Linked DNA regions of Drosophila melanogaster. The protein of the gene in region 2 interacts with the protein of the main gene of each other region in a pairwise test. Each region holds a gene or a part of one and is shown on either strand. Other genes may lie near its edges. The genes, in order: CG9864 and CG12594.

Region 1 (11,858 bases), on a different chromosome or scaffold from region 2:
GGCCATTTTGCGCGGTTTTCAGTGAGAATTGTACTAAAAATGTAATTTACGCCGCCGCGTTTTCTTGCGTACTGGCCCAAGAATTTGTTAAACAAATTAAAATGTAGAGTCCAACAGAAGCGGTGACCGCTATCGATGCATTGGTATCGATGATTTCCTACCCCCCGCACAGCGATTGTTGTGGCTATCGATGCGCACAGTCAGTGTATACTTATGCGATAGTCATTGAAAGGAAACATACTTTTAATTATGCGAGCAAATTCTGAAAGGTAACTGCAAAGCTCGAATCATTTCGTCAGAAAGATAAAATGCCAGTGATTTTTTTAACATTGCTGATATTTGAAACACTCTCATCTCTACTAACCCCATATACCAAACGTGTGTAAAAATCAGTTGTGAAAGAATACCAACATTGACATACCAGCTCGTTATCGATGCGACAGCCCTTTTATCGATAATTTCTAATTTCCCGCCTATGTTCGAAATTTTTTCTAAGATACCATAATTTCTTTTTTTTTGTATTTGCTTTATTGCCATGCCTTTCTGGGTTGCTGAACCTTCTGCAGTTGATAGTTTATGTATAAGCGATATGTGCAATAGTAAAAGAACTCAACTACTGAAATCATACTTAGTCCGAGGCAGAGGTTAAAGATGCCACCCAAATCCGCTGAAATGAGTGCAATTAAAATATTTCATCTTTGAGACGGCTTATCCACTCACATAATAGTCCTATCCAAGACATAACAGTCACTTTCCGGATAACTGGAACCACTTGTTTGGCCAAATAGACCCGGAGCACAAAACTGTCGTTGTTAAGCAATTCCGGAGAGCTGTGGAATAAAAACCAGTCAATAACCCATTAAGTTATCCATATTATTACTTACTAGAAGCGGCTGACTGAGTACTTATGCTGGTTGAGATCGGTTTTGTAGGACAGCGTGGAGTAGGTGACATCATAGCAATTGGGCAGGCACTGATCACAGCGCACACTTTTGAAGTTATCTACCCAGATAGAAAGGTAACCCCTTTATATTAAGGAACCCCTCTTTAAAACCACTAAGCCCTAAACCATACCCACCATAGTTGGCAGAATAGCAGAAGGTGTCGTTTAGATTGCACTCCTTGAACTTGTTGCCCACGATGGGCAGCAGATACGGATGGCAGCCGCACTTCTTGACGATGGCCTCCGTCTGGCAGGCGAGAAGGCAGGCGGCCTGGCGATAGTTGCTCAGCTGCAGGTCGCCCGAGATGAGGCAGTCCCTCTTACGTTCCGAAAGTTCCAGCACCTCCACCGAGGAGCTCTGCACCGTGGGCGATACCTCCACAAAGCTTTCGGATTGAGCGGTAATGGTCACCGAGGCAGCAGCCTCAGTCACGTAGTCCATGGGATGGTGAACCAGTACTATCAGGCCAGTGTTTAAGTTCCGCTCGCTGCCCTCCGCACCCACGAAGGTCAGTCCGCCATCCATCCCAAAAATGTTGGCCGAGAAGGGCACGAAGCTGGCGTTCCTGGGATTATAGTTGAAGGAACAACAGGGTCCCAGATACGCAGTGGTGGGAATGAACGATAGGTACTCGTGGCTCTGGTTGCACTGAAACTCCGTGTGGCCCCAGAAGCAGCGCTTCACGTAATCGAAGCAACCCGGACTGACGGCCATGGCCGCCTCCCAGATGGACACGTTGTTCAGCCGAAGAACGGCATCGGTGGCCCGATAGCTATCGTGTCCCGGCGGCTCAAAGCTCTGATCCGTGAAGGCGTTAAGGAAATCAAATCCAGCGATCACCTCTGCCATGTCGTACTCCTTGGGAATTTTACTTTAAGGGAAGGAAAACTTTTAGTGGTTATTCTAAGCTTACTTCCGAGCTCCTTACAGCGTCTTGACATATCGATCGACCCGCTCCGAGTTGACCACCTTCGGACTGCAGATGGTAACGCCCGGAAATGCGACATCCGTGATGGAAAGATCATTGGAGATGGTGTTTAGAATGGGGTAGGAGTAGAACTTCAGCCACAGCAGCAGGGTGAGGTAGATGCTCAGCAGGAGCAACTGCAGCAGTACCGAGGACCAGATGAACCGGGACAGACCGTAGGTACGATTCCGACGCATAAGCCACATGCCGCTCACCTTGGTCCGCTCCGTGTACTCCCAGAAAGTGGCCAATATGGCTGTCCTAATCAAACTTGGATCCTTTCCACGCTTTCTGCTCCCATCGCCTTTGGAGTTCTTTTTTCCTGGCGTTGGCCACTTTCCCGATTCTATCATTTTGTACTGTCTGCAGCTGGTGCTCAACTTCCTTGCTTTTATAGGCCAGGCTAGTGTCCTTAATGCCTGGAATAATGGGTGCTAATTATAGGTTAATGGAGTGACTAACTTGTGACCATTAGCCGTATGTTAACTATTCTAAAAGTTTATTGGTCGAATTAATTAACTTGTACACTATAACCATTAATTATAATACTCTGAGATGTGTGGATATAATAAATATTTTGAGTAACTGGTATTTCCCTCAATTTCTATGACTAAATCTTTTAATTTTGATTTTAAAATGAATTTTCACACCTTATAAATTGCGTTTTTGACTTCGCCGCTAACCTACTATCAACTTGTTGGGCATGACGTTAATACGCAATTAAAAACGGCAATTTGTTGGCTAAAAGTGTCCTCAAATTTGATTAGCATTTGACTAATTACGGGTGTCAATTCCGTTTCTTCAACCATGAGTTCCTAATCAGCAAACAAACTCTGCAAAGAGCCCCCAACCAGTTCGCCAGAGTATATTCCCCGACCAGGTTAAGGTCGTTATGCCAATCTAAGAGAAACTGGTTTCGATCTCAACTGACTCGTGATTCAGAATTCACGTGCGCGAAATGAAACCATATTGGTTAATAATAAATACACGGCTAAAGTTTTAATAGGACTCTCTCCATAAAGAAGTACACATCGTCGTTATGGCATAATACTTAAAGTACATAATCACAGGTGATTGCCAGGGCACAAACTACAACTTTGTGTTGACAATATCCTCTCGCGACTCGGTGGTCTGAACCTCGTTCCACTTCTGGATTTTACCCGATCCGAAGACCCAGAAAAACAGCGCAGGCAATATGTAGGCAGCGGCTCCAATGATAAACACCCAGTGCCACTGATCGATTGTGTTCTATGGAGTATGGAAAATTCATGAATGGGATGGATATTCGGGATTTCTAGAGAATCGCCACAAACCTCGTTCTTTGTAAAGGCGGCCACAATCAGAGGCGAAAAGATTCCGGGCGTGGTGCCAACACAGTTAATGATGCCGTACAGCGTGCCCGCATAGTTGGGCGCCAGATCCTGTGAGTTGGCCAAATTGGAGGCGGTGGCAGCTCCGTTGAAGCCCAGCGAAATGGTCATAATGGCAACGCACACATAGGGATCGCGACCAAAGTAGGCCAGGATGATCAGCATGACGCCGGGCAAGATGTGAGCTAATCAAAGTTAAATCGTATGGCTATAGTATAATCAAATGTAGAATAATATAGGCACACTTACAGGGCAGGCAGAAGGCCTTGCGCATGCGGGTCACCGACAACCAGCCACGTCGACGTATCCAATCCGCCACGGCGCCAAAACCGAAGGCGCAGAGCAGACGTGCCACATGTGGCAGGCTGGACAGGAAGCCAGCGGACGAGAGATTGAAGCCCAGGACCTCGCTCAAGAACTTGGGCGTGGCGGTAATCAGGAAGAACAGACCCCACATGCTGCCGTAGTGGAGCATCATGAGCGACCAGAAGGGCAGCGACAGGACGAGCTCCTTGTATGGTGGCCACTTCTACAAAGGTTGCAACAAATGTGTAAATAAGTCCTAGTTGCTTTTTATGGACCAACATACCTTCTTGTTGCTCAGAGTGTCGCCCAAGCTGCTTTCGATATACTCCCGCTCCTTCAGACTGATCGTACTGTGCTGGGCAGGAGTATCTGCCACAAGGTAGAACCATATAGCGACCACCACCAGCACGAATATGCCCACAATGTAGAAGGCCCAATCCCAGCCCAGATTCTCGATGATCACACCGCTAATGGGCCATGTGATGACGGTGCCAAAAGTGCCACCCATCAGCGAGGCCACAAACTTGCCCTTCTCATCCGGAGGCGACCACTTGGAAACAAGGCTGTGGCAACACGGATACACGACACCGTTGAGGAAGCCGATCAAGAAACGCACGGCAAACACCGCATATTTGTCCCAGGCAGCTGCCGCCGGAGTTAGAGCTGTCAGGATGCCGGCCACCAGGCAACTGTAACCTGCCACATTTCTGGCTCCCAGCATCTCGGCCAAAGTGCCGGCGGGCAGTGAGGTGATCATATAGCCATAGAAATAGGCACCCAGCAGCAGAGCCTGATCCGATTGCGTCCAGTTGTAGCGCGGTCCATACTAAGTGGAATATGCCAAAAAACAAAATGGATTAGATAGAATCGATAGAGGATAATCCCTAGTATCCTGATTCCCATTGATTAAACTCACATCGGGCAGTGCCTCCACCTCCGTTCCATTCTCGTGGCTGCTCGTGTCCTCCACCATGGCGATGATGTTGATCGAGAGATTCACTCGCATCATGTAGCTGAGGAGGCAGGCCATGAAGAGCATGATCGCCAGGTTAATCCGCTTGGGCACATAGACTGCGAACGACAGCAAATATTGATTATTGACCAACGGATCGTTATTCAATTTATGAATAGAGGTACAGGCAGGCCCCTCGCAACACGTTAGATCAATTAGCGGATCGAAAAGATCTCCCCATTCCCGTTTTTTTTTGGGGACGGGTCACAGATTTCTAATGGGCTGCGCATGCGCAAATTTCAATATTTGTGATGGATATCATGTCGGGGATTTCGGGGATGTCGGTGCTCCGATCGAAGATCATCACGTGAGGCCTTATTGACGACAATTCCGAGCGTGTGGCCATAATATATTTGGGTACTTACAGCACGGCATGAAGGCCATTTCGGCGGCTTTTGTTATGGCTCCGTAGCCTCGCGTCGCTTGTCAGCTGAAAAACGAAGAAAACAACAGGAATCGGTTGGTTAGCCACATCTTCGGATGCAGATCACTTTACGTACAAACGAGTGCGGGTATTTCCCCACACATTCGCTAAAATGCAAAATATTTGTGAATTTATTGAATTAAATTATTGAGGCTAAAAATGCCGAATCATTCAGGGCTATTTTCGGAAACACTAGATCAATTTTAATAAATGTACATATACGTTTCGGATACCCGTTGTCCAAACTCATTATTGATTTGCTTTTAATTTGTTTTTGCTCTATTAGGTTAAGGAAATGAATAATGGTTTTTAAAAAGCAATTTATCACTATTATTAAGTAAGTACTATATTTGCAGCTCTAAATTATTATAAATGCTTGCAAACTTACTGAAAACTTGAAAACTTGCTTTTTTGGCTGAAAAACTTATTTCATCTAAAAAAACAGATAACTTAATCGGCTGCTTAGTTAGCACTGTCATCTAACTGACAATAAAGATACAATTTAATATAAGTTCAAATACACATTTCCGTTCATTAAATGCAACAACCAGATAACTTCAACAATCTGTTAACATTGTTATATAGTAAATAAGCGACATCCATTAATTCAGCTCTATTTCGAATGTGATAGCCGCGATTGTTGTTAACTTGCACGTGTAACGGTCTATTTAGAATTAGCCGTGAATTTTTTTGCGCATTTTTCATATCGGTCGAGAGTGCTTTTTGGCATTATCTGCGTGCAATGCACTTGTTGAAATTTTATAAGCACGTACCGCTCGGCACTCGAAAACCGGCACGTGAGTGCCCCGTTTAGTCAAATCAAAATGCATAACTAAATCAAATTTAAACACTTTCGTCGCCAATTTAATTTCGTGCCACGAAAGTGTCGAATGGCATTGGCGACGTCAGAGTTTTGCGGCAGTGATGAAGCAACATTGACAATAATTGACCCGTGGCATGCTATGTCCATTTTCCAATCTAACCATTCTAACTATCTATGGGATATGATCTTGCGATAATATGGCTTAGATGTAAGGGAAGTAATGTTCTGGTAGTTGGATCATTTAAACAGCTGCCCTCGCTGCATTTCGCACAAACAAACAAACAAAAAAAACTGATATGTTTGTGCGCGACTGCTATTCATAAAGACACACTGGCGTTTAATTAAGAATTATATTGAGATCGAACACTTGTTGCTTGGATAGCTTAATGATCGCCCTAGATAGCCGGCCAAAATTGAAAATGCAAGTGCCCAATTGGATCGACTTCCCGTACTAAACACGTACTAAATCATGAAATCCGATTAAAGGTCTTACTGAGAAAGTGGCCATAAATATAGTACATATACCTGCTTTACGCACGCTGTGATAAGCAATCTTAAGTTACCTGAATGGAGCCAACGGCAGCAGTAAAAATAGCTCCCTTTCTATGCATAAAACTCCATTTATGGACGGGTTTTTCTTCCTGTGGACTAGACCACAAACTGGATTATGGCAAAAATAAAAAGAGCCAAGACCAAAGGCCATCTAACCCTTTGTGGCATTTGGTTTTATGATTGCATATGGTTTTAATTACGTGAGTTGACTGCGAACACTCGTAGATGATTTTGAGCAAACTAATTTGGCAGAATAGTGGGAACAAGTTGATGGGGAATTATTGATGTGCAATACGTGTATTGAAATCTTTTAATTATACCTTTGCCCAGAGATCAAAGAACGCGACTAATGACCTTGGGCATTCATTTTGGCCGTACTTCTGACTAATTGCAGGGAATGATGTTACAGCGATCTGGATACCCGATAAACTGCTGAAAGCCCAAACAAATCATTAGGTTTTGTTTCTCTGGGTTTTTGCCTATATTTTGACTATACATATATGGGCCATTAAGTTAGCGCCAGCTTCTCGTTCTAATCTACGGAGTTACGCCCTTATCAACATCCTCGCCATTGACTTTATAAAATCAGCTCGGCAATTTATGATGGCCATAAAGAGGTGTTTTATAGCACATTGGCATGGTCGTGATAAGTTAGTTGGCTATATCAACTGGCGAACGACCATCATTAGAGTCAGGTTAATCGGCAATTAGCCTGTGTGTTTACCACGTTAAATGATTTGATTTACGATCGGAGAGCGCTCGATTCGAAGGATCCAATATGAGCGATATACATATGTATATCTCTATATATGCAGGTCAGCCACGAATCCGAAGATGAAGCAACCGAGTAGTCGTATTCGCGGGTATTCATAACACGCGTTCCATTTACATAAGACTCTCTGCTGGCTGGCTACCCAGTTGGCACGATTTAAGGTTGGTCTCGTCTGTCTTCGCCCTTTTCTCGGTATCCTCCAGTTCCAACATGCCCATCGAAAATGGTATCGTATGGAGTGGAGTTCGATTCTGGCATAGAACTCTGCTGGTTATTTTAGCGGCAATCAGGCGTAACTGGCTAACACAAATCAAGATCGGTAATGAACCCACTTCGCTTGTCAGTTATTGTTGTGGAACATTGTATTTGCTTAAATTGGGTTCTCATAGCCTCACTGGGGCGAACTGAACTGCCATTTTGCACCAATTCCCATTGAAATCATATAATTTGTGTTTTGTTTTTTTTTCATTTCTTTTGTTTTAGTTTTGCATTTTTGCACGTTATAATTAAATTTCGGAAAATTACGTGGCGCATGAAACTAGCAATGATTGTAGTAAATGCCTGTCCAAATCAATGCGACAATTGCGAATATTGCACGCACATGCTAATAGAAAATCACGAGTGTGAATATTTGTTATTCACAAAACTAAAAAGGTTCGCCAAGCGAACGTTTCGAATAGAGTTGCATAAAAAAAACAAATACCCAATGAATCTTTTGCGTAGATCCAAACCTGTATCTGCACAAGCTAGAGACTTCTTTTGATCAACCTGTCCAGCCTGGGTCCAAAGTCTCTAATCCTGAGCCAAATGAGCTGCAACCACTCGAGATGACAGTGGACCAACTTGTTGCCAAGTCGTGGTGGAAGTAGCGATATCAAATTGAAATTGCTGGGAATGGTGGTCGGTGGGGTCGGTGGTCGCGGTTCAATGAATCAAAATAACGAAACCTGTTATTATTTGGAATGCAAATTTTCGGGTAACTGAAAATAAAACGGTCAAAGCCTAATTAAGCTGGCATTCCGATACGATTCGATTTCGATTTCTCTCTTCCAAGACATCCCACTCTGAATGTTCCTATTTATACAGCCAAACATTCAAATATAATATGAAAAGGGGGGCCTGTCTCAGCAGATTTCTTCGCATCAATTCGTTATGGAAAATTTGCAATAGATCATGGTCTAGACTAGACCCCACACACAGACACAAGCCACTCGCGATCACAAAACACTCAAAGTCATCTCCGCTTATCTGCGCTCGCACTTCTTCGTGGCACCAATTTTGCATGGAATTTTACCACGAAGCCCAAAACAATAATATCGGATTAATATGGATGGGAAACATCTGATCTGCACGCAGCTGCAGCAATTTCTGTTTTCTGCTTCTGTTTTTTTTTTTTAACTGCCCAAAGAAAACTGGACTTTCTCGTCGAAATGCGTGGGGGAAATAGATAGGCTAGGCTGCGCCGAACTCACTTTTTGTGGCTGCCACTTGTTGTCTAGGAGCTGCTCAGCGGGCGAAACGGACTGCTGAGAACGTCGCGCGGCGAATGAAGCTAAATCGGCGGTTGCCAATGGCATATATACATCTACTTGGGGCGACGATTTAAGCAAAACTTCCACCTGCCGCAGTCGCAGTCTCGTTTTCAGCGGCGGCAGCACCGGTTAAAACGGTTAAAAATTGTTTAAATTGCTGCCGTCGGTTGAAGCTCAACGTCGAACTGCCTTTTTTTAACGCTTTCTGATAGCGTGCCAAAAATCGCATGCGATTGGCGCAACGAAAATGTGCCGAGAAATTTGTTAACAACAAATCTCACAAAATTGTGCTAAAATGTAAGCCAATAAACACGGTGACTAATAATTCAAAAATATTACCACCCCGATATTCATATTACTAATTTGTTTGGTAAATCCCAACCCAAACTGGCGAATGATAGTATTCATAAATTTGGAAAAAAAAATATCACCATAAAATACACGTGCTGTAAAAACTTACTTGACCGTTGTTTTATAATTTAATTTTTGTTTAATTAGCGCACTTGGCGAATGCCGGTGAAAAGCCAGAGCAGAACAGATATTATTGACACAAGTTTATTTATAATTAAGCGCTCGTCTTCAGACGCAAATAACTTCTCACACTCCTCACCTTGGGCAAGAACACTCTTTCCAGCGTAGACAGTTGGTAATCCGAACCCTTTGGACACATCCGACTTGTTCCACTGCTGTAAACGACTTGATTTCACGGCAACAATTGGCTTCCTGGCCAACTATCTCACCCTGGAGTGGCTTATAAAGTACATTATCTCCAGCGGTTATCCGACTTGTACCAACACAGAATGTTGCCAGCCCATAAAGCTTAATTGATGCATTTAGCTGCTTGTTTCTGATAAGAGGCGATTATGAGTGGAAAGCTGTCAGCTTTTCAGAAAAATATGTACGAATGACGAGCATATTATTCTTTACATTCCAACAGTGGCGCTTACCTGGTGTAGGCAAACAACAAGGGGTAATCAAGTGTCTGCTAATGATTACAACTATATTGGGTGCAAGACCGGTGGAATTATTAAAATATTTTATATTTTCAACATATTGCTATTGCGAACGGCATTTAATTCAAAATTCAAATAATGGCAACTTTACTTCACGTATAGCATGCGCCGAGCACACTCTTTTCCCACGAGCTTGCTGTACTCAATAATGATATCGTCATCGGAGACGGTCCCACGCAGCTGTAAATAAAACGTATATTAGATTATGAACCACTGATGTTAATGATAATAAACATGCCTGCCTAAAGTGCTTGTAGTCTGTGCGGGTTCTTCCACCCAAGAGCAGCTTAACTTCGTCCAAATGCTCCATCAAAAACTCATTCACATCCCTAGCTGCAGGATCTTCGTTTAAGCGCTGGTATTTATGTTCGTCTAGCTTAGCACGAATAACTGAATATATACGTGTTTGTTATTAGTACAGAATATTAACAAGAAAATCGCAAACTTACCATCGGTGAGCGGTAGCCATTCATAGGTCTCCGGGCACAGCAAGTAAGAGGGGGACAACTTGCCCTTGTAGCGCATTTTGGGACAGGAGTGTATGTAGAAACCCATATAGTAATACTTGAGAGAAGGCACCTTCTCGGCGAGCGACTGCACCAATTCAATTTCCCTGTAAGAATTTCTTCTATGCAGTTTTATCTTTCTTTGCTCGGAATCTTGCTTTACCTGAGTGAACCATATGTGCCAAGCGATAAAAAGCTATAGTCCGGATCGTAGAAAAAGTACACCGAGCTTACACAACCCGGCAGAATGTCAATCACGCCGACGGCAATCAACTTGTCGTCCAGCCAGTACTGCTGATGAAACGAACCGTAGCCCATTTCGGGACCATCCCAGGGTTTCTCATTCTGCAAGCAAAAACGTCCCGGAATTATGAGGTTAGAAGTAAAGCTTTTAAATGTATGAATTATTATAGAGAAAAACCTGTAGGGGAGTCGCCTGCAGATGCTCCTTGTACGCGTCCTGATCCTTTGGCGGATCATTATGTATCGATATCTGATACTTCTTATAGAGCGCAAAACTCTGGGGCAGGGTCCGCCGGAACTCGTCGTCGTAGACGTGAATTAAGCGCAGCTGCGAATACATTTTTGGGGCAAAGATGAATACTCGTTTATAATTACCTTAAGAGGCGATTTGACCAAGAACCGCTGCATACTAGCTAGGGTGAGGCGTGCGGGGTTATCATTATGAACGGTTATTTGGTATTTGCGATACAACGCGATCACTGCATCGGCACAAGTGCGCTCTGTGTCTGAGGAAGCGACTAACACGATCTGCAAGAACACAAACAGCACAAAGACAGATGTGTCTACATGTAGCGGGAGACTTATACTCGGGGAACGGACACAGGAAACACATAGGCGCAATATACAGTGTAAACCCTTATCAACATATGTACATAGGTTCACGCTATCCAGCTTAGTTTTGCAAACGGTCTAACTAATTATTCTATCCACATTTATTCGCAACGCACCTTTAGCCGATGTTTGTTTGTCTCGCTGTCCGTGTTCAAGAAGTCGCGAAGTGTCTTTTCCTGGGTAAGGGATTTCGTTGAGTAGGAGGCCGAGTCTCCCAGCTTGGCCAGCCGTCGATCCAATCGCATCTGCTTGGCCTTCTTGCACGGCTTGTTTGAGATCGGTGCTGCGGCTGATGAAGATAAGAGTGATGCTAATATAATAAATAATATATATATTACTGTGGCATTAAGGCATTAAGGAGCATACGCACATTTGTTGGACCCCAACGTAGGAGCTTCCACCGCGGCAGCAGTTGCCTGCTTCGTCGGCTTCCTCTGAGCCGTTGCCAGTGATGCAACTTGCTCGACATTGATAACAGGGGGACTCTTATCTGGCAGCTGGGGTTGCGGTTCGCTGGCCGTGACCTCGGGAGCCACTATGGCGTAATCGGCATCGGCTTCCCCGTCACCGTCGCCGGCTTCCGGTTTGGACTCTCGCTTGCCGTCGCGCAAAAATCGATTTATGCGGCGAAGTATGCGCTTGTTCGACTTGGAGAGCTTGAACTCCAGGCCATTACATTTGATTGTGTAGCAGGGGCAGCAGGTCTCCTGGTTGCGCAGCTTGTAGCAGTAGTAGCCGCACCGCCGCCAGCCGCGATCGATGAGGTCCTGATAGTCCCGGCA
Region 2 (9,169 bases):
AGTTCGGCCATGCCCTTGTGGGGACAGGGATTCACGGGAGTCGCTGCAGCCGGTGCCAGGAGCTGCAGCACGAGCAGGAAGAGCAGGAGGACCAGGTGTAGGGGCAGGGGCAGAGGGGTGGCGGAGTGCACCCGCGAATAGATGTCATCGCCTCTCATCACGGGTGCACCTGGATTCGGCCGAGCCATGGATCCTTTATCTTTACGAGTGTCCTAGCGCCACTCGCCGGTTGGCATGGCAGCTTTTATCGCTGCGGTGGCTCAATTTACTTTCGGCAAAAGTCACGTTCCGGCTTTGATTCAACTTGGATCCGTCCCTCTCCAGGAACAGAGGCACTTTCACACAGCACCTGCATTCATCGTTGGCCTGCGGAAAGATGGGTAAAAAGAGCTTGATTGAGGTGGCATTGCCAAAGGACAAAAAGGACAAAAGGACCCCTCCAGCCCCAGCCCGTCAACCGAATCTTCAATTCTATTCAAATAATGGTGCCGGGTTTTGCATGATAATAGCTGCAGGTTGCAGTGGCTACATTCTGCTATGATTTATATAAAATGTTATATCGCTATCTGTACCTATGGAAGTCTATTTTAGTTTCCCCAAGGAAGCTTTTGCAAAGGGTCGAATTCATATATGCACGATTTTCTTTCAATGTCACAGATTTGCATGTGTTTTGTAATTTTTATTCGACAATTGTTGTCAAAGGGAGTATATTTGTATTAATGTTGCAACTTTTATCAAAGTGATTTTGCAATATGCTCTTTAAAGAAACTGAATGAAAGATGTTTTCAGTTTACAGTTTGTGGTAACTTATCTGAGTTTTACTTAAACAAATTATTGAAAATAATAAAATACAAGCTTCCTACTAAAAAAATCTTAAATCGTTAATGTACTTTACAATGAAGTATTTCCTACTTGCATTTTGTAGCAAGCTAATTCATTTGATTTTAGATTTATTTAAGGTATAATAGCTATTCTTGGCCACCTGTACTTCCTCTCAGGAACACAAAATTTACGAGAATTTATAGCGGCCATAAAAGGTTCTTTTGGTAACAAGAAGCTTAAGGACCAAGATTACTTCAGGCGGTGCAGGATCACAGGATGCTGGGGTTTGGGGCCATCAAAGTCGTTGCATTCGCTTTCATATCCTGGTGCAGGAAATAAATATCTGGATTAAGGACTTCTGCAGCATACTGGCTGGGCAAACAATGGCCATTGGAGTAACCAGTGGAAGATTCAGTGCCCGGTGGAGTTGGCAAAAGGGGACTAAAAGTTAAATCCACAACATAAACGTGCAATCAAATAGAATTTTTACGCACAAAAGGGCCAGCGGCAAAACATTTTCTGTAGATAAATGTGCACTTCCAGGGGCTAACAAAAGCTGCGCTCCGATTTTTCAGCGCAACCGGGTCGCATCCTTGGTGTCCTGCGGTCCCAGTGCGAAATGGAAAATGTACAACACGCGCCAATTCGGAAACGAATGCAAATGTGCGTCGGGTTGTGCAAAATTGAGACCTCAATTGTTTTATGGCCATGGTTGTTCGTCTATCGGTTGGCCCAGAAAAATGTAGGCGAGCGAACGAGTTAACAGTTCCGTACCGCTTGCACTACCAATTTCACTACCAATTCCACTACCCATTCCACTACCCTTTCCACTACCCATTTCACTACCATTTCCGTTTCCGTTCGACTGACCGGCAGGTCGTCACTCAACATTCATCGTATTCTCCGGGGGCGGCAATCAGTGTAATTGTTATTGTTTTTACTCCGCCTTTATTGCCCTTAATCCATTTTGTTTTGCTCTCGTTGCTGCTCAGTTGAACTTTTGCAAATTGGCAAAGTTACTGCCAGCGACAATCTGTTAAAAGCTTTTGAATTCCAAATCGACTTGGCCAAGGTGAGCCAAGCGGCAAGGCACGTACATATATACATAAATCAGTCGGAAAAGTCCAACGGCTAAGCCGAATGCATATTTAACGAACTTCGCCGCGATTCTGTGGTCCATTGGGGAAATTCTCGGACATCCCATCGCATTAACGAAAATTAGTATTGTCTTCCGCCTTTATGGTTCTCATTACTTGAATTGTGACGAGTTCTTTTGGAGGAGATTTCGAGGATGAGGGTAAATCCCATCCACACATCGATTTCAATTTCCTTTTGAAGGCAGGAAAAAGGAAACATCAAAATACAATGTTTCCGCCCACGCTGTGACACTTCAAAAATAGGCGGACATTATTATGAACAAATTGAAGGCCGGCTAAAAGTCAAGCAACCCATGTGTGCAAATATACACTTAAAAAAATATGTACTATTTCTACCTATATGAAAACAACAATTTGATTTATTTCATAACTTTGATTACGTAAAGGAATATACTTAAATAAGAATGGGTCTGTTTAAGTGGATACTTTAGTGATGTACTAAGATTGAGCAGATACACCAAAGAATCCTTTGATAACACAGTGAATAAAAATTATGAACTCTGGATATACCGTCCCGAAAAATGTATTTTCCCTATTTTCTGCGTGTGCATATTGTTGCTATTATTGGATGCCCGTCGCTCGAGATGATTGAATATCAAAAGGCAGTTGGCTCACGCAAATCTCCGACATGTTTCGAGTGGTCCCTGCCGCCTGACAACAATGTGAGCAGCGGGATGCGAGTTTAACAAGAGTGGATCCCCGAGGACTCGTATAACTGATAGCCACCCCCTCGGTCGACTGGGCAAGTTTGAAAGCCCAGCACGTTTGGCCAAACTTCCACAAGTGGCGGGGGTATCCTCGCTTGTGTCCCTTTTTTTTTTGGGTCAGGGACTGGCGGAAATATTTTGTACCCAAATTATGCCGTGAGTGCCAGGCATCGCACAAAAAGGAACCCATAGGACCCTCGAAGGAATCAAACCGACTGACTGAAGGCCCAAACCGTTCCACACGCATACGCAATTATCCTCGGGGACAACTGTCGCCTTTTATCTGTGCGAATGATTAAGCTTCAAGTGTCTTAAAATTAATTTTATAGTGTTTCCAGCCCAGGGACGAATCCGCATCCGTATTCGTATACGCAACGGGGCGTATGCGTAATCTTCCCAGCCATTAGCTAGATCCTGCTGGAATTGTATGCGTGTAGTGCTTAAATAGTTTTATCTGCCACGCGCTATCTTCGAGATACTTAATTCCAGCAGGTCCTAATATGTAAATCACTTGCAGTCGGAGTTCGTGTTTCAGGCTGGCTGAACTTTTATTCCCACGAACACGCCATTCATGCCCAGGAATTTCACTCAGCCCTAAGCTCCTCCGCCGTGGCTATATTAAATTCCGAGCTTATTGATTGCGAACCATTGCTATGCGGAAAAAGTATTTGTATTCCACCGATTTTTCACGTTAATCCCGTCTCAATTAACCAAGCGACTTAATCTCGATGCACGCTTAAATCATAACAAATTGGGGTAGATTCACTTTATAACTAAACAAATATTTGCCGGGAATATATTTCAATTTTCGGTATTTGAATTATGCAAACTCATTTGAGACGAAAGTGAATTTATTGCCAGCTCTGGCCCCAAAAACAAAGCCGAAAGGTTGCCGTCTCCGGTTTTCGCTCTGGCTCTGGCTCCGGATGCGGATGAGGAAGGATATGGCCATGGAGCTCCGGCTCCCCGGGAAATTTATGCGCACAATTAATTTGAAAATCCGAATTTCAGCCAACAACAGGCGAGCGTACTATACTCGTATACTGTATATCACACGGTTTACGGGGCCTGTTCGTCGCATAAGAACGAGATAAAATGTAGATACCTGCAGTGGGCCCGATCATCGACGTAAGTCGACGGGTACGTTTCATCAGTCCAATTAATTAAAATCCTTGCGGATTATTTGCTAAGCGTATTTGCTAATTGGGCCGGCTCTGATTAGACTGCTCGGCAAATACGAGTACTGTCAATCCAGCGGACTGGCGTCAGCAGTTAAACGTTAACCCGCCCGACTTAAGTGGCCCCATCCCTTCCAGCTTAATGAGCCCCTCGAATGGGAACTTTATCGCCGGGGTCGGCCTTCGTTTCCGCTCCCAGTTCAGCTGCCAGTCTCCATGGTTGCTGGCCCTCGGTGCAAATTGTAATTATAATGCCACTTAATGGGCATAAGAGCGCCTCAGTTCTTGTTGCCTGCTGTTATTGTTATTGTTGCGGAAGTGGAAGTGGAAGCGGCTTGGTGGAAGTAAAGGGTTATCAAAACCCCAGAGGTCGTCGATGAGGATGTTAAATGGATTTAACAGGCCAAGTTAGGTTCACCCCCATGCCTCCTATTCGAACATTGAGAGTCCTAATCATTGGCTCCGGGTCGCCCCATTATCCATTATCTATGCTGGGATTATTTTTATTGCAAGTGCAAAAGAAATTCGCTGGTGCCGAGATAACCGCAGATATTTTGCGCTGACAGAGCAAAAAGTTAGTTGCCCCATTATAAAGGGCTGCACATTAACCAATGGTGTGGTATGTAAATGGGCAAAGCCCCCTAAATACATACATACATATATATATATATATATATCATACTTCCACGGATTTGCCATTCCCCCCTGGTGGGTGCGGACCACTTTAACCCATTTGAAGCGACTGTCAGTTGCCAGTTAGCAGTTGCCAGTCGAGGGTTGCCAACGGCCATTAACAATGCAATTTTGTAACAATATGAAATTGTGGCTGTGGAATGGCTCAAAGCGAGCCTGATGCGATGAGGTTGCTCTGCAATTAAGCAGCATGCCACACGATCTAGGACTCGCACACATGTGGCAGACCCAACACAGAGGGACCTTAACATGAATCAATCTCCGACTCCAAAGGCGGCCACAAGTAAGCTGGAAATATTTGGAGCTGGTCGCTCGGTTGGCAGTGCGTGGAGCACCGGGATACCATTTGAAATTTAATATAATTACGTGATGTGCTCCTTTGATATTTGGCTATGGTAAAATCCTTTGACTGGCCTTTGTTAAGTTCTTGCCAATATCGAAATCCAATTTACACTTTAATGCGGTATTTACCTAGATAATTGATAATCACTTCTTTTTTTTTTATTAGACAAACACTGCGGATTATAATTATTTATTTTATTTAATACTGGTTCACTTAATAAAAACACGTTGATTCGTTAAATGTAATTATACATTTTAGATTTTGCGATGTTTTGCATAAATTTCTCACTTCAAATAACTAGTGACCATTGTTCGTCCGACGAAAGCCAAATCATTGAACTATTTAAGCTTGTAATCTGATTTCAATTTGATTTATATTGGCAACGCAAACTAGATTGCTTTGTGGTCACTTTGTTGGACTAACTATTCGGTATTGGCATTTCGTTTATATTGTTTCTTTTGTTCGTTAGCATTGTAATTATGCACTTGCGAAGGGTTTGTTTATTTATTTCCCACTTTTCACCACATGGCTGGCTGATTAAATTTTGCGAACCCACAAGCGCAAACTAATTACAGTTTTTATAGCTTTGCCGTAATATCAACAAGCGAGTTCGAGTTTGAAGTTAAACCAAGTATGGTTTTCCAAGTATTTCCGCTTTGTGAAATTTTCCGGACTGGCGCCACGAACGAACTGCTTTGGTTTTGGCCAGAACAGCGGCTTTTATAGTTGGCAAGGATCCGTGGGTCCTGCGCCTGCGCGGATAATATCCTGATGGACTGACTCCCTCTTTCATTTTTGTTTCCTCCTTTCGACACGCAACACAAAGCCGGCTGTTTTGCTGGCCGTCCGTGGTCCACTGAGCCAATGCTCATTTACCGCCCGCTTCCATTTCCAGGGCGTTTGTTTACACCGGGACAGCTGAGGTCGGGACAACAAAGTTTGAAGCCATCCGAGGCACTTGGCACTTGCCACTTGGCACGCTGCTGTCATCCCAGCCGTTAAGGAGCCCCACTCTTGTATAGTACGAGTGTATGTATGTACGTTAACGGGGATATGTACTTGCTGTACTTGCAAAACATTGAAGTTTTAATTGAATTGCGGCTGCAAGTTTTAACTGCATTCTGTGGGTAGAATATTCAGCGTTCCTACACGCAGAAAGGTGCGAGAAAAAACTTCGTCACAAACTTTTCAGCTCGCAAGTTTTTCACTTTTCATTTCTTGACAGTGCGTAGAGCGTGTGTTTCTGTTTAGCCCTTTTAGATGCAGTTGGCAAGTGCGGCATTCAGCCAGGCTAAGTCAGTATTCAAAATAGCTGCGCCTGCAAGTAGGCAACAATGTTTTCATTTCCGGTTACCGTTTATGTGGTGGCTTGGTGTCTGTGTGTGAGTGCGCGTACGGCTGTGTGAGTGTTGAAATCTGTGTCGAACACCTGTTGTTGCCATTGTTGTTCTGGCGTTATCGCCTTCTTGGCCATTTGGCTTATTTTGTGGGGCCGTAAAAGTTTTGATTTCGCACTTTGCTAGCCTTTCTCAAATGATTTTCGTTCGCTAAGGATGTTCGAATTTACAGGATATATTTGCACTAAAGACGAAATCATAGATTCGACAATCTACAGTAAGTCTGAGGTTAACATTTGTGATTTATTAAAAATCATGATCATATTTCTAAGACTTTAACTTTTAATTTAACGCTAGGGTTTTTTGGTTGCGCTACCCTTTTCCAAACATCCCTTTCTACTTTCTTCGCTGCTATCTGTTTTGTTGCTCATGTCGCACCATTGTTGGCCTGTCGTCCTGGGTGGCATGACTCTTAAGTACCACCACCAGGTGTTTTGATTTATTGCGGCTTGGTTAAGTGCGGCCACAAACTTCATTTGGGTCCCCAGACTCAGGCAAAAGTTTCCACCGAACGGACTGACCAAGGATTATAGCCAACGGCAGCTTGGAGAACAGAAGTTAAGAGGAGCAAGCTGTGAAAAAGCTAGAAATGAGTGCTTAATATTTGTGGCAACTTTGATGTTAATCGCAAAACATTTCGAGTTCCGCCAATTAATCATATTTATCAGATCTTTATTTCGGAAAGCGAGTGTTTTCCTTATATTCTTAAATTAATACTTAAGTGCCTTAAATGTTTCAAAGAGCAGAGTAAATGGAATGTTGCACAAATGTAGTTTAAATTGTAAAATGGCAGTAAGTCTGAAATGAACCGAAATTAAAACCACACAAATGCAATTGCTTTCCACACATTAAACTATGTTTCAAATGTAATTTCGCAACATTCCATTCACAACTCGATTCGTTGAGGGAATCGCCGCACACTGCTTGAATCCGATTCACACCCAATATGTGCTGATTATTTATGCCTTTTATCTGGCAAACGGCGCCAGTGCTAACCCATTTAGACAATTTGGTTGATTTCGCACCCACTGGCCAAACACCCGAACAGCCAAATGCCCAAAATCGCTAAATCTGCCACGCCCCACAGATCCTTTGTTCATCCAATTCGGTTTGGAGGCCTCTCTCTGTGCAGAAGCTAATTACAATTACGAGCCATGGCAAGCGGCTAACTCTCCCACTTGGCAATCGAGTTCCAAAACATAGCCATGCATATTTAATTCTTCTTGCCCAGAATCCCTACTCCCACGTCTCCCCTCCGCCCACGATTCTTTTGGCGCTTTGCAAGTGTAGCTTAATTTGACAAGAGGGAAGTGTTGGAAGGGGGGGGGGGGCGGTTGGCGTGAAAGTCGTCGGCAGTTTGGATGGCCAAAAACCATTTGGAACATGCACAATTTTGACACCATCCCAATCGGCCCCCAGTAACAAGTGCCATTCACATGGACCGGGGCGATTTCATGGGAACTCAATTAATGGAGCATGATCTTAATGGGTTCCTATTCCCACTGCCCACCACCCATCTCGACGGCGATGAGGACGAGGACATGGCCGTTGGACGGCGGGCAGCGAGGCGTACAAACACATGCCGCTCGCTAAGTGCGCCAAATCAGCAGAACTCTAATTGGAGGCGGATGCCGTTTCGTCCTTCAAAAAAAAAAAAAAAGATGAGAAAAAAGAAGGAATGCTGTCGGCGCTAAAAAAAACTTATTTTAGGCGAGGGTAAAGCCAAAGCCCTCTTCCTACCCCACATCCCCGATTTCCTGATCCGGTGTGCGATGAATTGGTGAGCGTTTGCCGAGCAATTAGGAGGCCAGGCGTCAATATTTCGATGGGTATGGGTTAGTTGGCCCTTGCTTTATTGGCCCGCGTGTGGCTTTGAAGTTGGTTTAGTTGGGTTTGGAGCGTGGGAAAAGCTTTAAAATACTTGACATTGAGTTTTGAACTTTAGGCTCAATGGGGTATATATATTTTCATCAAAGGGAAATGGCGATAGATCTATGAACCTAATTGACGCAACAAAAAGGCCCAAATCTGAAGGCCCATATCATTTACAGTTTCACAACGTAAACTGAGTTGAGAAACGATTGCAATATTGGGAATATTTAAATATTTATGCAGACAATTCGGGGGCAGAATGTTCAATAGCCCACGTGATTTTTACCAAGGCAGCCAAATGCAATCAGAGGCCATAAAGATGGGCCCACCAGGAGGAGCAGGGCACTCGACTCGACTCGACTCCGGGCAAACGAGGCTAATATTTCAGGGCGCGAAGCAATTGCGTTCCGCCTGCCAGGATTCGCTCGACTGTGTGTTTACTGGCAAATTTGTAGCTCGTGGCATCATCGAGCAGATGGCAGTCGGCAAAATACAATTTAAACGTGCAACCGGCGGCAAGACCCGTGGCATGTAATAGAATCCAACTGCGACTACGATTCGAGGCCACTTTTTGCACCAGCGCCCCCGTATGCAAATGTGTTGCGTTCTGCGGAATATCTTTATACAATAATCTTATCAACGCATCGGCTGGCATGTGGCATGTGGCGTATGTGATACGGCATATGGTGCAACAGGGTTATGGGGGAGTTGGGCTGCCGAACCGCCGCAACCACTTGGCATATTGCGGCTGACAGGTTTATGATGGATTGCCACCGAGGAGCTGCAAACTGCTCACCACCTCGGAATTTTGCGATTCGATTTAAATTCGCATTTGTGTTTATGCAAGGAATTGAGCCATTTTTTATCGTCAGCTTATATGGGATTGGATTCCGTCCGCACACACAAATACTGTGATGTGTTGCCATTTGAGCTCAAAATATATTGATACTCTGGCTTTGTCTGGATGGGGCAGCTAACTTGGTTACCCAATTGAAATTCG

The links.
Region 1: the proteins of CG12594 (region 2) and CG9864 interact in a two-hybrid assay, tested with the Drosophila melanogaster proteins (one large-scale study listed by BioGRID).

What each region holds. Positions count from the first base shown.
Region 1 is NT_033778.4:20,245,244-20,257,101, forward strand, and holds CG9864 (uncharacterized protein), read right to left. Parts: upstream 9,428-11,858; 5' UTR 9,313-9,427; intron 8,723-9,312; exon of another isoform or gene 8,643-8,722; intron 5,030-8,642; 5' UTR 4,984-5,029; coding exon 4,965-4,983; intron 4,659-4,964; coding exon 4,504-4,658; intron 4,414-4,503; coding exon 3,871-4,413; intron 3,811-3,870; coding exon 3,531-3,810; intron 3,467-3,530; coding exon 3,225-3,466; intron 3,160-3,224; coding exon 3,001-3,159; 3' UTR 2,887-3,000; downstream 1-2,886. Other genes in the region: Hacl (2-hydroxyacyl-CoA lyase), read right to left, coding at 1-6; ppk6 (pickpocket 6), read right to left, coding at 528-667, 721-830, 885-1,002, 1,079-1,815, 1,873-2,264; Ate1 (arginyltransferase 1), read right to left, coding at 9,803-9,895, 9,954-10,105, 10,165-10,328, 10,385-10,566, 10,840-10,992, 11,193-11,386, 11,447-11,858.
Region 2 is NT_033777.3:11,718,212-11,727,380, reverse strand, and holds the start of CG12594 (uncharacterized protein), read right to left. Parts: upstream 5,648-9,169; 5' UTR 5,029-5,647; exon of another isoform or gene 4,924-5,028; intron 367-4,923; 5' UTR 159-366; coding exon 1-158.